2 linked regions of the Arabidopsis thaliana genome follow. The main gene of each other region encodes a partner of the protein of the gene in region 2 in a complex. Each region holds a gene or a part of one and is shown on either strand. Other genes may lie near its edges.

What was found. Proteins that work in one complex are often made in the same cells at the same time.
Region 1: SMC2 (region 2) and AT3G57060 share a complex: the UniProt entries of both Arabidopsis thaliana proteins name them as parts of the condensin complex.

The regions. Positions count from the first base shown.
Region 1 is NC_003074.8:21,115,088-21,122,965, reverse strand, and holds the start of AT3G57060 (binding protein), read left to right. Parts: upstream 1-1,852; 5' UTR 1,853-1,914; coding exon 1,915-2,050; intron 2,051-2,358; coding exon 2,359-2,681; intron 2,682-2,767; coding exon 2,768-2,928; intron 2,929-3,017; coding exon 3,018-4,197; intron 4,198-4,310; coding exon 4,311-4,502; intron 4,503-4,694; coding exon 4,695-5,348; intron 5,349-5,446; coding exon 5,447-5,623; intron 5,624-5,747; coding exon 5,748-5,815; intron 5,816-5,905; coding exon 5,906-6,128; intron 6,129-6,212; coding exon 6,213-6,312; intron 6,313-6,404; coding exon 6,405-6,520; intron 6,521-6,604; coding exon 6,605-6,662; intron 6,663-6,749; coding exon 6,750-6,901; intron 6,902-6,982; coding exon 6,983-7,187; intron 7,188-7,300; coding exon 7,301-7,705; intron 7,706-7,790; coding exon 7,791-7,878. Other genes in the region: AT3G57062 (uncharacterized protein), read right to left, coding at 1,377-1,523. UniProt on the Arabidopsis thaliana protein: Essential protein. Regulatory subunit of the condensin complex, a complex required for conversion of interphase chromatin into mitotic-like condense chromosomes.
Region 2 is NC_003076.8:25,054,184-25,062,032, forward strand, and holds the start of SMC2 (structural maintenance of chromosomes 2), read left to right. Parts: upstream 1-1,841; 5' UTR 1,842-2,124; coding exon 2,125-2,442; intron 2,443-2,541; coding exon 2,542-3,222; intron 3,223-3,314; coding exon 3,315-3,458; intron 3,459-3,546; coding exon 3,547-3,837; intron 3,838-3,912; coding exon 3,913-4,098; intron 4,099-4,179; coding exon 4,180-4,344; intron 4,345-4,428; coding exon 4,429-4,488; intron 4,489-4,609; coding exon 4,610-4,672; intron 4,673-4,995; coding exon 4,996-5,087; intron 5,088-5,177; coding exon 5,178-5,274; intron 5,275-5,478; coding exon 5,479-5,595; intron 5,596-5,710; coding exon 5,711-5,929; intron 5,930-6,082; coding exon 6,083-6,223; intron 6,224-6,302; coding exon 6,303-6,470; intron 6,471-6,857; coding exon 6,858-7,042; intron 7,043-7,171; coding exon 7,172-7,265; intron 7,266-7,353; coding exon 7,354-7,442; intron 7,443-7,564; coding exon 7,565-7,790; intron 7,791-7,849. Other genes in the region: AT5G62400 (uncharacterized protein), read right to left, coding at 431-598, 947-1,423. UniProt on the Arabidopsis thaliana protein: Central component of the condensin complex, a complex required for conversion of interphase chromatin into mitotic-like condense chromosomes.

The DNA.
Region 1 (7,878 bases), on a different chromosome or scaffold from region 2:
CATCTTAATTAAAAATAACACTAATTGGACTACACATAAACAACATGGGAAGAAGTTGAATTGCACAAGGCAAAAACTCCTTGAAGATTCTTTATTATTTTTGGTACTTTGTTCTTTGTCTTTTACTCTTTTCAATAAGGGAAGAGGAAAGATTCGAAATTCAGAACCTAACACTACAAAGACTAAATATGATATAAGGAAGATATGCATAAGACAAAAAGCTAATATAAGAGGAAAGCTCAATAGTTTTAGAGGTGGATCTTGACAGATAAAAATGTTTGGTTCTTCATTGAATATTTGAATGTAATAGATTTCTTTGACGCCAATGAGCTAAATATATACAAAGTAAATTCAAAGGGAAAAATCATTTTCTCTTGTGTGATCTTCCAAGCAGAAGAGGCTAAAAAAGATTTCTTGAAATTGATAGAAACTCAATTGTTTCAGCAACATTTTTTCACAAGTATGAGGTCACATATGTTCTGGAATTCTACAAACTATATACTATACACATATACTGCTGCTCTGCTCTCTCTCTACCTCTCTCTGTCTGTCAAAATGTTTCATAGTTAAGAACCTTGCCAGCGTACCAACAGAAGATATGATAGAACCTTACTTGTGTACTCTGCGCATTTACTGCTGTAAAAGCCCTTCCTGAATTCAGAAAGGCCTGAATGCAAAACAATGACTAGTAAGCTAAGGAGAAAAACTAAAACAAAAGGTAATCTTCAGGATTATAAAACATGCTTCCAGGAATGTTTTGGTACTGAAGCTAAGAAGGTATTATCACCTATGAACTGTTTTCCAGACAATCACTTAAGCATATGGATCATATCATCAATGCTGATGTACTTATGTAGAGAGGAGATAAATTATCTGAGCATGTGAATGATCCTGAGGATACTTGTATCGACACAAAAACCAGCTACTATGAGAGATAAACTCAAGCAGCTGAGCAAAAGGAAACGAGCATTATATGCATCCCAGAGTTGCTGATCAGAACAAATACAACCAAATTGGAGTTGAGAAATCTCGATTTTTGTTCATGGGCCATTAACAAGCATCATTAACATAACAACATCCATGCGAATCCATAAGATATGTATAGTTTCATATACGAAGCCGAACTTTAGTTACACATACACACACTGAGTGACTGAGACATATATCAATCACTTCCACCAAAAATTGTTCCCTTTTCGACCAAAATGATCTATCTTTATCCTCTATAAACTCAAACTATTATCAATTTCAGAGTTTGTAGGGAAATTTGAAGCGACTCTAATCTAAAACAACAGAGCAAAACAAAAAAAAACGTAAAATTTGGGGAAGAGAAGAACATATACGCACAGAAGGAGAGCTAAGGATCTCGAATTCAATCATCCGACGTGGAAAGGACCAATATCTCCGTTTCTCAGAGAACCAGCGATCTCATCAGCGATAGCCACGCAAGTGAAAACCCAACCACTCAGAGAAAACCAAACCATTCTCATCAGATACATCGCCATGCCCAGCGGCATCGCCATCTCAAAGCTTTTCTGCTTCTTTCTCTCTCTTTCGTCAGATCAAATGATTGGCCGGCGAAGCCATTAGAGTGGCCAAAAGCTTGGGGAAAAAAAAATCAAAGATGATTCGGTAGGTTCAAGGATCTTCCAACCATTTAGATTCGGCCACGTCTTCGTCGTATTTATTCACCAGCCGACGGAGACTCATAATTAAATTCGAGGGCCCACATGAAGATAAAATAATTAGGATCCGACCCGGTTTTGTATCCGGAACCCGACCCGATAGGATGATCCATGGATTCCCGCTCCGTTGCCTTTTTCGATTTCATTTTGAAATTGAAATTCCCCAAAAGGTAGATTCTTCTTTCTCTCTCTCTCCTCTGAGCAACGTCTCTCTCTCTCTCTAGAAAAAATGGCTCCTCCCTTTGTATTCCCTCAAATTCTACGAGCCCTAGAAGAAGATCCGGAGGATAATCACCGTTTGTTCGCTCAGAATCCCGTCGATGTAACCTCTCTTCGCCCTTCCGATCTGGAAGAATTCGTCAAAGGTAAATTGTCTTTGTCTCTCCACTGTATGAGCGTATCTGAGATGCAATTGCGAGAGGGTTTAGATTTGCTTTGCAATCCCAATTTGGGAGGAAAATTGCATTATGTATGTTGATAGTGTCCTTAGTCACCTGAGTCGTCAGGTAGGTTTAGTGGGAATTCGTGTCTACAAGCGAAGCTGAACAATATGAAATTGATTAAATTTAAGTCGAGAGAAATTTCATTTAGTGCGTTTCTGGAGTCAAATTTCTTCTATGACTCTTGTGATTGATATGTGAGGCATTTTGTTTACTTTCGTCTCGTGGAACAGGTGTATCCTTTGACCTTTCTGATAGAGAACTCTTTTGTGTCGAGGATCAAGATGTATTTGATCGTGTCTACTCTTTGGTCAGGAGCTTCTTTAGTCTTCCTCCATCTTGCAAGTGTAATCTTGTAGAAAGCCTTCGGTCCAATCTAAGCGTTCTTCTTCCCAATGTCGATTCGATATCCCGGTCTGTCCAAGATCAGGAGGATGATGTTCCAATCATTGATAGGATCACATCACATCGCAATGCCTTGAAGATATACACTTTCTTTCTCCTCACTGTTGTTATGAATGAGGAATCACACATCAGCTCAGTCGAGACTACAAAGGTGTTCTCTCTTTTTCCAGCTGATAATACAGAATAAAATTCATCTCTTGTTGTCGAATTTACGGTAGTGATGTTGTGGATGAACAGGTTGCAGCACGAGGGAGGAAAAAGCAAATCATCCAGTCATGGAACTGGGAACCTCAGAGGGGTAGGATGCTCAATTTGATCGCAAATTCTCTTGAAATCAACCTATCCTTGCTCTTTGGATCATCAGACCTAGACGAAAACTACCTGTCTTTCATTGTCAAGTAATTTCCGTGACCTAATGAATCTTGTTTCTTTCATAGTCCATGCTATAGATACATTCTCACAACATTTTCATATCATTTCCTTGTAGAAACTCGTTCACTCTTTTTGAAAATGCCACAATCTTAAAAGATGCCGAGACAAAAGATGCACTGTGCCGAATCATCGGAGCATCTGCTACAAAATACCACTACATTGTGCAGTCATGTGCCTCAATCATGCACTTGATACACAAGTATGATTTTGCTGTTGTACACATTGCTGATGCAGTTGCTAGAGCTGAAAGCAAGTATTCAGATGGTACGTTGGCAGTGACAATCATTAGAGATATTGGGAGGACTGACCCAAAGGCCTACGTTAAAGATACTGCTGGGGCTGATAATGTGGGACGTTTCCTGGTCGAGCTTGCTGATCGTTTGCCAAAATTAATGTCGACAAATGTTGGAGTTCTGGTCCCTCATTTTGGTGGTGAATCATACAAGATAAGAAACGCACTAGTTGGTGTTCTTGGGAAATTAGTTGCAAAAGCATTTAATGATGTCGAGGGAGATATGAGTTCCAAGTCCCTTCGTCTGCGAACTAAGCAAGCTATGTTGGAAATTTTGCTCGAACGCTGTAGAGATGTTTCAGCCTATACAAGGAGCCGTGTTCTTCAAGTGTGGGCTGAACTCTGTGAAGAGCATTCTGTTTCAATTGGCCTATGGAATGAAGTTGCATCACTATCTGCTGGAAGACTGGAAGATAAGAGTGCAATTGTTAGAAAATCCGCATTGAATTTACTGATCATGATGTTGCAACATAACCCCTTTGGTCCACAGCTGCGGATAGCTTCATTTGAAGCAACCCTGGAGCAGTATAAAAGAAAACTGAACGAACTTGAACCTACTGAGCATGCATCAAAAGAGTCAACTTCAGATGGTGAATCCTGTAATGGAGATGGTGAAATCGATGACTTGCATCTTGAAACTACAACTAAGATTCATCAAGATAGTCTATCTGATAGCTGTCAGCCAGAGAATGGAGAAGAAATCAGTGAGAAGGATGTTTCTGTTCCAGATATTGGTAACGTTGAGCAAACCAAGGCTTTGATTGCTTCCCTAGAGGCTGGATTGAGGTTCTCGAAGTGCATGTCAGCCAGTATGCCAATCCTCGTTCAATTAATGGCTTCATCTTCTGCCACTGATGTTGAGAATGCTATTCTTTTGCTGATGAGGTGTAAGCAGTTCCAAATTGACGGTGCAGAAGCTTGTCTCCGTAAAATTCTGCCTCTGGTATGGTCGCTTATCATGTATCAAACTCATAAGAATACATTCTTCTGACATTTTTCAGTTAGCATCCTCTTAATACATTGTGCTAAAAACCTTGTTTATTGTTGTCTTTGCAGGCCTTTTCTCAGGATAAGTCTATCTATGAGGCAGTAGAGAATGCCTTCATCTCAATCTACATAAGGAAAAATCCAGTTGACACGGCGAAACAGCTGTTGAACCTTGCCATAGATTCGAATATAGGAGATCAGGCAGCACTAGAGTTTATTGTTAATGCTTTAGTGTCAAAAGGTGAAATATCTAGCAGCACGGTAGGTTCCTTCTGTGACTCCAGCGTATGAGTATGCTATGAATTATGGTCACTTGATACGTGTAGTCTGCTTATGCACAGTCAAGAACAACTAAAAATAATGAGCGTTTGATTATTGATTAAATTTCTCGAGCGAAAAGGATTTTCACCTGCTAGAGGCTAATAAGTGCTTCTATCATTTTTCTGTTTGTAGACATCAGCTCTATGGGACTTCTTTTGCTTTAACATCAATGGGACAACTGCTGAGCAAAGTCGTGGGGCTCTATCTATCCTTTGCATGGCTGCAAAGTCGTCCCCTAGGATTCTTGGATCACACATACAGGATATTATTGATATTGGGTTTGGCCGTTGGGCAAAAGTGGAACCTCTACTTGCCAGAACTGCATGTACTGTTATTCAGCGGTTCTCCGAGGAAGATAGGAAAAAGTTATTGCTCAGCAGTGGCAGCCGATTGTTTGGTATTCTTGAAAGCTTGATCACTGGGAACTGGCTTCCAGAAAATATATATTATGCAACTGCTGATAAAGCCATAAGTGCCATATACATGATCCACCCAACTCCAGAAACATTGGCTTCTACTATTATTAAAAAGTCCCTGAGCACTGTGTTTGACGTAGTTGAACAAGAGGAAGCACAGACTGATACCGAAAATAATAAAGTTGATATTTTGACTCCAGTTCAAGTGGCTAAACTCAGTAGATTTTTGTTCGCTGTCAGTCACATTGCCATGAACCAGTTGGTGTATATAGAATCCTGTATCCAGAAGATCCGGAGACAGAAGACTAAAAAGGACAAACCGGCTGCTGAAAGTCAGAACACAGAAGAAAACCTTGAGGCCACCCAAGAGGTACAGACCAATTTCGTAGAGCGCAGCTGGTGGCACAAATTTTACAACCCTAAAGGGTTATTTTTGCTGAATAATGCAAAGTTTTCTTTGTTTTGTAGAACAATGGCATAAATGCTGAGCTAGGACTTGCTGCCTCTGATGATGCACTGCTTGATACACTCGCTGAAAGAGCAGAGAGGGAAATTGTTTCTGGGGGTTCTGTTGAGAAGAATCTGATTGGGGAGTGTGCAACTTTTCTCTCTAAGCTTTGCAGAAATTTTTCTCTGCTGCAAAAGGTAGTTAGTTTTCTATTCATTCATTCTGTTTCATGGCGTGTGATGAAGTTAAAAGCCTTCTTTTGCTCTCACATTTATTTTGGATATACATGATAAAATGAAACTTGTCTTTTCATTCGTACAGCATCCTGAACTACAAGCTTCCGCAATGCTTGCATTATGCAGGTTTATGATTATTGATGCAAGTTTCTGGTGAGATTAAATCATTATCATATAGTCTATTTATCCTTTACAAAACTGAATTTATAGTTAAATTGATGCATTAAACTCAATGTATGCCAGCGAATCCAATCTTCAGCTTCTCTTCACAGTTGTTGAAAATGCACCGTCTGAAGTTGTACGATCGAATTGCACCCTTTCCCTTGGAGACTTGGCTGTTCGTTTTCCAAATCTTTTAGAACCTTGGACAGAAAATATGTATGCCAGGTTACGGGATGCTTCAGTTTCTGTCAGGAAAAATGCTGTCCTGGTCCTCTCACATCTTATATTGAATGATATGATGAAGGTTGGACTCCTTACCTCTCTCCTTGCTCTCTTTAAATATCTGCAATTATAGTTGGAGGTTTCATTTTGTGAATCCTGATTTCAGGTGAAAGGTTATATATATGAAATGGCTATATGTATAGAAGATGATGTGGAGAGGATCTCTAGTCTCGCAAAACTATTTTTCCATGAACTGTCTAAGAAAGGTCAGTTGCAATAGCTGCTTTACATGACATAGCAACTTCCACCTTTGAATCAAATTTAACACTTAAGTTTATTTTCTGCCAAACAAATCCAGGATCGAATCCCATATACAATCTACTTCCTGATATACTTGGGCAGTTATCCAACCGGAATTTAGAGAGGGAGTCATTCTGTAATGTCATGCAATTCTTGATCGGCTCCATCAAAAAGGTATACAGCTTTTCAATATTGAAGTTAGTATGACCTGTATTTATTCTTATCTAATCACTCATCTGCATCCTCATCAATCTCCAGGACAAACAGATGGAGGCTCTAGTTGAGAAGCTTTGCAATAGGTTTAGCGGAGTCACAGGTATGCTTGTATTGATGATATATCCTTACACCTGTTTTGGGTTTAATAAGAAGTATATCCCTTTGACATCTACACCTAAACTTGCAGATGGAAAACAGTGGGAATACATTTCGTATTCTCTTTCGCTGCTGACATTCACAGAAAAGGGAATCAAAAAGCTTATTGAGTCATTCAAGTCTTACGAGCACGCTTTAGCAGAGGATTTGGTGACCGAGAACTTTAGAAGCATAATCAATAAGGTCTGGTTTCTCTGGTTTTCGTCACCCTAGTCATTTTTAATGCTATATGTTAGTTTGACATCTGGTTGTGAATCTGAACAGGGAAAGAAGTTTGCGAAGCCAGAACTGAAAGCGTGTATCGAAGAGTTTGAAGAGAAGATCAACAAGTTCCACATGGAGAAGAAAGAACAAGAAGAAACCGCAAGAAATGCCGAGGTTCATAGAGAGAAAACCAAGACCATGGAATCCCTTGCTGTCCTCAGCAAAGTGAAAGAAGAACCTGTAGAAGAATATGATGAAGGTGAAGGTTAGTAATTTTTTGACTCTTGGCTAAAGCAAAGTTCACTGTACCAGACTTACGATAGTCAAATGCCAGTTAACGGCAAGCTTTTCAAAATGGACTGTTTTTTGTATTCTCAGGTGTTTCAGATAGTGAAATTGTGGATCCATCAATGGAAGAATCAGGCGATAATTTAGTTGAAACTGAGTCAGAGGAAGAGCCATCTGACTCGGAGGAAGAGCCAGATTCTGCACAATGTGGTACGGCCATTCCTCGTTATTTAAACCAAAAGACTAGTGGCGATAATTTGATTGAAACTGAGCCCGAGGAAGAGCAATCTGACTCGGAGCCAGATTCTGCACAATGTGGTACGACCAATCCTCGTTCCTTAAACCGAAAGACTAGTGGCGATAATTTGATTGAAACTGAGTCCGAGGAAGAGCAATCTGACTCAGAGGAAGAGCCATCTGACTCGGAGGAAGAGCCAGATTCTGCACAATGTGGTACGACCAATCCTCGTTCCTTAAACCAAAAGACTAGTGGCGGTATGTGAAAACTTCAATATGTATTTCAAAAATCTCACACAACTTAAGCTACATTTTAGAAATTGTTATATACCGTTAAGTAAAGTTGTGAGGTTTTCAGGGGAAGAAGGCGAATCAGAAAGCAAGAGTACAGAGTCATCGAGCAGCATCAGGAGAAACCTGAGGTCAGGAAG
Region 2 (7,849 bases):
AGTGTTTTTGACTCGGAAGCTCGTGAACTCTGCGAATCCGGTCACGAGTAAGGTGTATTAATAAAAGCTCTTTTGGATTGGTAGTGATAATGGCTTTACGAATAAATGAGCTTTATTTAGAATTTGATCCAAAAATTTGATATCAGATTTAAGACAGAAGATGGAGAAGACGACAAATTCTTGAGTTTAACGATGTTGAGATTGAACAAAAGAGCAAGAATGGTCAAAAACGGTGGGCCTTGAGGGTAAGTTTGACATTTACGATGGGGATTATCCGGTTTGGCCATTTCCATGCCATTTCAAATATAAACTAATAAAAGTTTACTAAAGCTTATTGTATTAGCAATTAAATATTACTAGTGAATAGTATTTTCATTACTGGCGAGATAAGTTGGTTTGAAAATTTCTTTATTCGACGTATAAATTGGTTTTATCTATGATAACCAGCCCGGTTCGATGAACAGATGAGGCGGATATTGAAGATAACCGTGTGTTTAGTGGGGAAATGACGAATTTGACCTTGAAGCGTGTGAGGTATTACGTCGACAAGAGAATCTTTCGGTGGGATTACAACCGGGTAAAAGATGGCACGTGGGGCCTGGTTACTCCCACGTGAGCCACACCAAACAAATCTTACGTTATTTTGAATGTGTTTTATCACGAAGACAAAAAATGCCAAGAGAATCGAAACAAACAAAAAAAACATAAATAGAAAGCAAAGATCTATTGAAAATTACATCAGAATCATTGTAAAACATTAATAGAAAGCCAAAACCTATTGAAAATTACATCATAATCATTGTAATTTAACATTCACATGATCCCATCATAATCAAAACAAAGTAGGTTCAATGAAAACAACGAAAATTTGTCACCAAAGTTAAGTAGGAGTGAGAAAAATGGTTTCCTCGTTCATTTGATTACAAAGATAACCATAGAAACTTACCATACTCGTAACAAAACCAACTATACCAAAACTAACCAAACCCCTAAACCGCTTCTTCTTCATCTTCTCGGTTCTTCTCATCGCCAACTTCTCTTCTAATGAATTCGCATCTTGATATTCTGCATGTAACGATTCAACCAACGAGCGAACCAAAGTGGTCTCATCTACACCACCACCACTTTCCAAACTCTGCAAGTCCAGTTGGTTGATTGGACCGGTCTTTTCCTTGAAAGCCTCTTCAAGTTCGGTTAACCTCTTAGCCATGAAACGAAGTTTCAACATCTCTTCTTCGTCTTCATCGTCCTTAACCGACGATATCTCCGCACATAAAAGGGTTTGCGTGAAAACAAACCGGGTTCCGAATTCCCGGTATGCGTTAAGATCACCATTGCCAGAACCGAATTCTTGTAGGTAATACTCAAGTTCTTCGAGTTTCTTCCCCAAGATTGTGTTTGCTTTCGCCTTCGTCGTCTTCATCCTTTTCTTAAACAATTATTTCTCCCATTTTCGAAAGGTTTTAAACTCTTAAAAATAACTTCTCGTAGTCGATCGGATGGCGACGGTTAATGTGAAGCTACACGTATCATAAATATAACTGTCCAAGGCCAAGGTTACGTGGCCTATAGAAATTAGATCCTATAGTTTTGCTCCCTCGACGATATCGATATCCGTTGTGTGGATCTGCGCCATGCATGTCGAACATGATATATGTGCATTAACAAACATAGCACCATTCATTAGTCATATTCAAACAAGGAATGAACCATTAATTTGTGGGTGTGAAGCAGAGTGGGATATCGTTGTTAACATATGAAGTATACATGTATAAAATTGTACAGAATGTATTTGATACCATCAAACCTTCTGAATGGTGTGGAAGGTTTCAGAACTGTTCCCAAAGTTCACTTTCCCGCTCCTTGTGTTCCCAAATCGAAATGCCCTTGTTTTCAAAATCCCAAATCGACTCCTAATTATCTTCAACTAAAAAACCAAAATTGACTTCAGATTCGCCTTCTTCTTCTCTTGCAACGTTTCAATTTCATGTGCCTTCGACCTTAGATTCCAATTTTGAATTCGAATTTCTGGGGTTTCGATTGAGCTCTTCTCGCTTTTTTCTAGGGTTTTGTCGCATATGCTGCGAGTGTGAGTGGAAATTTGGGGGAAGAAGAAGAAGGAAGATGCATATAAAGGAGATATGCTTGGAGGGTTTTAAATCATACGCGACGAGGACGGTGGTTTCTGGTTTCGATCCACATTTCAACGCGATAACGGGTCTGAATGGTTCGGGAAAATCCAACATCCTCGATTCCATCTGTTTCGTTCTGGGTATCACCAATCTTCAGCAAGTTCGAGCTGCTAATCTTCAGGAACTCGTCTATAAGCAAGGCCAAGCTGGGATTACTAAGGCGACTGTCTCGGTTACCTTTGACAATTCCGAGAGACACAGAAGCCCTCTCGGCTACGAAGAACATCCAGAGATTACTGTGACTAGACAAGTATGTTCTTTGTTTCTCTTTTGTTGTACTCATCAATTCATGTGCTTGACAAAATTTGAGACTTTAACTTGGAATTGTGTATCTTTTGGTGTTAAAAAGATTGTAGTTGGTGGAAGGAACAAGTATTTGATAAATGGGAAGCTAGCACAACCAAGTCAAGTTCAGAATCTATTTCACTCGGTGCAGCTTAATGTCAACAATCCACACTTTCTCATCATGCAAGGGCGTATCACCAAAGTTTTGAATATGAAGCCTCCGGAGATATTGTCCATGCTTGAAGAAGCTGCTGGAACAAGGATGTATGAAAACAAGAAAGAGGCTGCATTGAAAACGCTTGAAAAAAAGCAGACCAAGGTTGATGAGATTAATAAGCTTCTTGATCATGAAATATTGCCGGCTCTCGAGAAGTTGAGGAAAGAAAAATCACAGTACATGCAGTGGGCTAATGGTAACGCGGAGCTAGATCGACTAAGGAGATTCTGTATTGCCTTTGAATATGTTCAAGCGGAGAAGATTAGAGACAATGCTGTTCTTGGAGTTGGAGAAATGAAGGCGAAGCTCGGGAAGATTGACGCGGAAACAGAAAAGACACAGGAAGAAATACAGGAATTTGAGAAACAGATAAAAGCTCTGACTCAGGCAAAGGAAGCCAGTATGGGGGGAGAAGTAAAAACTCTGTCAGAAAAAGTGGATTCACTGGCTCAAGAAATGACACGTGAGTCATCTAAACTTAATAACAAGGAGGACACCCTTCTGGGAGAAAAAGAGAATGTTGAAAAGGTTAGAGACTGAAGAAAATTATTTCTGTTGCCAGAATGTTATAGATTCTCAGCTATTTCTGGCGTAAATAACTTCCTACTTGGTGTTGACAGATTGTTCACAGTATAGAAGATTTAAAGAAATCCGTAAAGGAGAGAGCCGCTGCTGTGAAGAAGTCTGAGGAAGGAGCGGCAGACCTAAAACAAAGATTCCAGGAACTCTCCACCACATTGGAAGAGTGTGAAAAGGAACACCAGGTAGTACCACTAAAAAAGTATCTCTATTCCATGCCAAATAATATCCATTCGTTTTATGTTAATTGGCTTTATGTCCTTTGATTATTAGGGCGTACTAGCTGGTAAGAGTAGTGGAGATGAAGAGAAATGCTTAGAAGATCAACTACGGGATGCAAAGATTGCTGTTGGAACAGCTGGAACAGAGTTGAAACAGCTAAAAACCAAAATAGAACACTGTGAAAAGGAGCTAAAGGAGAGAAAGTCTCAGTTAATGTCAAAACTTGAAGAAGCCATTGAAGTGGAGAATGAACTTGGAGCTAGGAAAAATGATGTGGAACATGTAAAAAAGGCACTTGAATCTATTCCTTATAACGAGGGTCAAATGGAAGCTTTGGAGAAGGTTAGCATGGTCACTTTAGTTGATTTTGTCTTTTTCTACAGAAAGTATACTTCTCTGACTGAAATATATATTTAGGACCGTGGAGCCGAACTTGAAGTTGTGCAGAGGCTGGAAGATAAAGTGCGTGGCTTATCAGCTCAATTAGCAAATTTTCAGTTTACATACAGCGATCCTGTGAGGAACTTTGACCGATCTAAGGTGAAAGGTGTGGTCGCAAAACTAATAAAAGTAAAAGATAGGTCCTCAATGACAGCGTTGGAGGTAGACTGGATATCTTATCATTTCACAATAAACACTGTTGGGATTTCAATTGCCTGAAGTCACTTTGCTTCTTGTTTCCAGGTTACTGCTGGTGGCAAGTTGTATGATGTTGTTGTAGACTCAGAAGATACTGGAAAACAGCTCCTTCAAAACGGTGCTCTTAGGAGAAGAGTTACAATTATACCTCTGAACAAAATCCAATCTTACGTTGTTCAGCCTAGAGTGCAGCAAGCGACTGCTAGATTGGTATGTGGATCTTTTGTTTGGTCCATTTAGATTTAATCTCTTTGTTTTCATTTTCATTGCTAATTTTTTATTATATATTTTCAGGTTGGAAAGGATAATGCAGAACTGGCACTTTCCTTAGTCGGTTATAGTGATGAATTAAAGGTACACGCCTGCACAGAGTAACATGAATCTGATATATAATCCTCTATTTTTCAAGTTTTCAAGAATACATAATAAATTTCAAGTTCAAGCTCATATTTGTGTGAATCATGGTATTTTGCAGAATGCCATGGAATATGTTTTTGGCTCCACTTTTGTTTGCAAAACTACTGATGTAGCAAAGGAAGTAAGTATTTCCTAAGCATTTAGTATTATATGTGGGCAGGGCCTTCAGTTTTTCTTTCTTGTGAGATGATGTCAGCTTATATATAAATCTTTACGTGGAATATGTGGTGTGTACATTTTTTTAATTGCCTAAGCTTGTTTTTAGTAACTCTTGACGGATAATCTATTCTAAAGTTTATCACTTTTGTTGGGGTTATAACTTATAAGTGCAACATATACCTTGAGTTTATTCCCACTGTCTTAGCTACTATTTGATAGTTTTGATTTATTGCTTTTGCCTCTAGAGTTCAGTCTTTGATGTGCCCCTCATTGCTTCTTCTGCAGGTTGCTTTTAATCGGGATATTCGGACTCCAAGTGTCACACTTGAAGGTGACATTTTCCAGCCAAGTGGTCTTCTTACTGGTGGGAGTCGCAAGTATGTCTTTCTTTCTTGGACGCTTATATCTCTAGTGAGAGTCATCTCCTTATAAAAGTATTTTGGTCTTTTTTTTTTCCTTTGCCTTAGGGGTGGAGGTGATCGCCTTAGGAAACTTCATGACCTGGCAGAAGCTGAATCAGAATTACAAGGACACCAAAAAAGGTTGGCTGACGTTGAATCACAGGTAAACCCCTATTCTTCCGTGATAAGTCTAAATACAACTTGGAATTGAACAGGTGCTAGCCATATTTTGAAATTACTAAGAAAATGATAAGGCAGTAGCTTAGTAATGGTCTCTGATTGCTCTCTCTAGACTCCTCATGTCACACAGTTATAAAGTACTTTCAGTATTTTAAACGTAAACTGCTGATTTATCTTGACATGACAGATCAAAGAGCTTCAGCCTCTTCAAATGAAATTCACAGATGTTTATGCACAGTTGGAGCTGAAGACGTATGACTTGTCCTTATTTTTGAAGAGGGCTGAACAAAATGAGCATCACAAGGTTATATCTCCATCTTCTATCTATATCTTTCAAGCTAAATTATCTGCGTCGTTGGTTTTTTTGTGGTACTTGAATCACATACATTTATACTTTCCATCACCTGTTGTATACACAGCTTGGCGAAGCTGTAAAAAAACTTGAAGAAGAGCTTGAAGAAGCGAAATCCCAAATCAAAGAGAAGGAACTTGCTTATAAAAATTGTTTTGATGCTGTTTCCAAACTAGAGAATTCCATCAAAGACCATGACAAAAACAGAGAAGGAAGACTTAAGGACTTGGAAAAAAATATTAAAACCATCAAAGCTCAAATGCAGGCAGCTTCCAAAGATTTAAAGGTATTTTATATTTTTTGGTCAGTTACTTCCATGCCATTGAACTTCTTGAATCCATTTTTCTTTTCCTTATCCTGGGTTATCCAGTTTTATCATGGAAGCATTGCCTTCTTTTGAATTTGCTGTAACGTTGTCTCTGGTTCGTCATGCGCATAGAGTCATGAAAATGAAAAAGAGAAGCTTGTGATGGAGGAAGAAGCAATGAAGCAAGAACAATCGTCCTTGGAGAGCCACTTAACTTCATTGGAAACCCAAATCAGCACTCTGACTTCGGAAGTAGACGAGCAGCGAGCCAAGGTGCTGTAGTTTTGCTACTCTTGGTGAAGTTTGTTGAAAATAAAGAAATATATCATGTTAATATATGATTCCCCTGCAGGTTGATGCCTTACAGAAGATTCATGATGAGTCTCTTGCCGAGCTCAAGTTGATACATGCAAAGATGAAGGAATGTGATACACAGATAAGTGGTTTTGTCACTGACCAGGAAAAGTGTCTGCAGAAGCTTAGTGACATGAAGCTTGAGAGAAAGAAATTGGAAAATGAGGTACTTTCTGTTTCTGTTCTATTCCTGTTTCTAGGTTTTGCAAAGCTACAAGCCATGCTTGTTTCTTCCTCACTACCAATCTGATTTATGCTGTTCTTGCACTTCGTATAAAAATCTTTCGTATTCACTAATCTTGCCTATTAAGAGTTTCTGCCTTGGATTTCTTTAAAATTTTGAAAGTTCAGTAATTGCGTTAAAGTTCAAACGTCTCAATGGGTAACATACAGCTGTTGGGGATGGTGAGTGAATTAGTAATTGCATAGAAAATTAAGACTTTCTTGTAACGTGATTTTGATATAAAATTGGAAAAGTTCAGTAGTTTCTGAAATTTCTGCATGTCAAGGAATATACTTTTCGTGACAACTGTCTCTTCCAATTTATTTATAGGTCGTAAGGATGGAAACGGATCACAAGGACTGTTCCGTGAAAGTAGACAAACTTGTTGAGAAGCATACATGGATAGCATCTGAAAAGCAACTTTTTGGGAAAGGAGGGACAGATTATGATTTTGAATCTTGTGATCCGTATGTGGCCAGAGAAAAACTTGAAAAGCTCCAATCAGATCAATCAGGGTATGTGTATGAGAATTAACGTTTTATCTTTATGAAACCTATATTATATTGTCGTCACATCATTGAAGTGAAATATCAATATGACATGCATTCTTCTTCTTTTCCTGGTTATTTATTTCCCTCATGAAGCTTGGAAAAAAGAGTGAACAAGAAGGTTATGGCTATGTTTGAGAAAGCAGAAGATGAATACAATGCTCTGATATCGAAAAAAAATACTATCGAGGTTAGTTACAGAGGACAGAGGGCCTTTGCAATGTATTTCAATAGCTTCGTGTGCCATCATAACACAATTTTTTCGGTTTTTTTCCTAGAATGACAAATCAAAAATCACGAAAGTGATCGAGGAGCTTGATGAGAAGAAAAAAGAAACCCTGAAAGTTACTTGGGTTAAAGTTAACCAGTGAGTGTCTTTCTAATCTCCAACAAAGAGTTTGTCTTTGCTCTTAGGCTCATGATCTCATTCCTCAATGTCTGAAAAGATAATATGATATTAGCCTTTGTTAAATCCTTCTTTTTTATTAGGGATTTCGGATCAATCTTTTCAACTCTACTACCTGGCACCATGGCAAAACTAGAACCTCCTGAAGACGGTAACTTCCTTGATGGTCTTGAGGTGCGTGTTGCCTTTGGAAAAGTCTGGAAGCAGTCTTTATCAGAACTCAGTGGAGGGCAAAGATCTCTTCTTGCGCTATCACTAATATTGGCATTGCTTCTCTTCAAACCGGCTCCTCTTTATATATTAGATGAGGTACATCTCTGCTTTTCAATTTCAGATTTCTCAGTTTCCAATTGATATTTCAAATTATC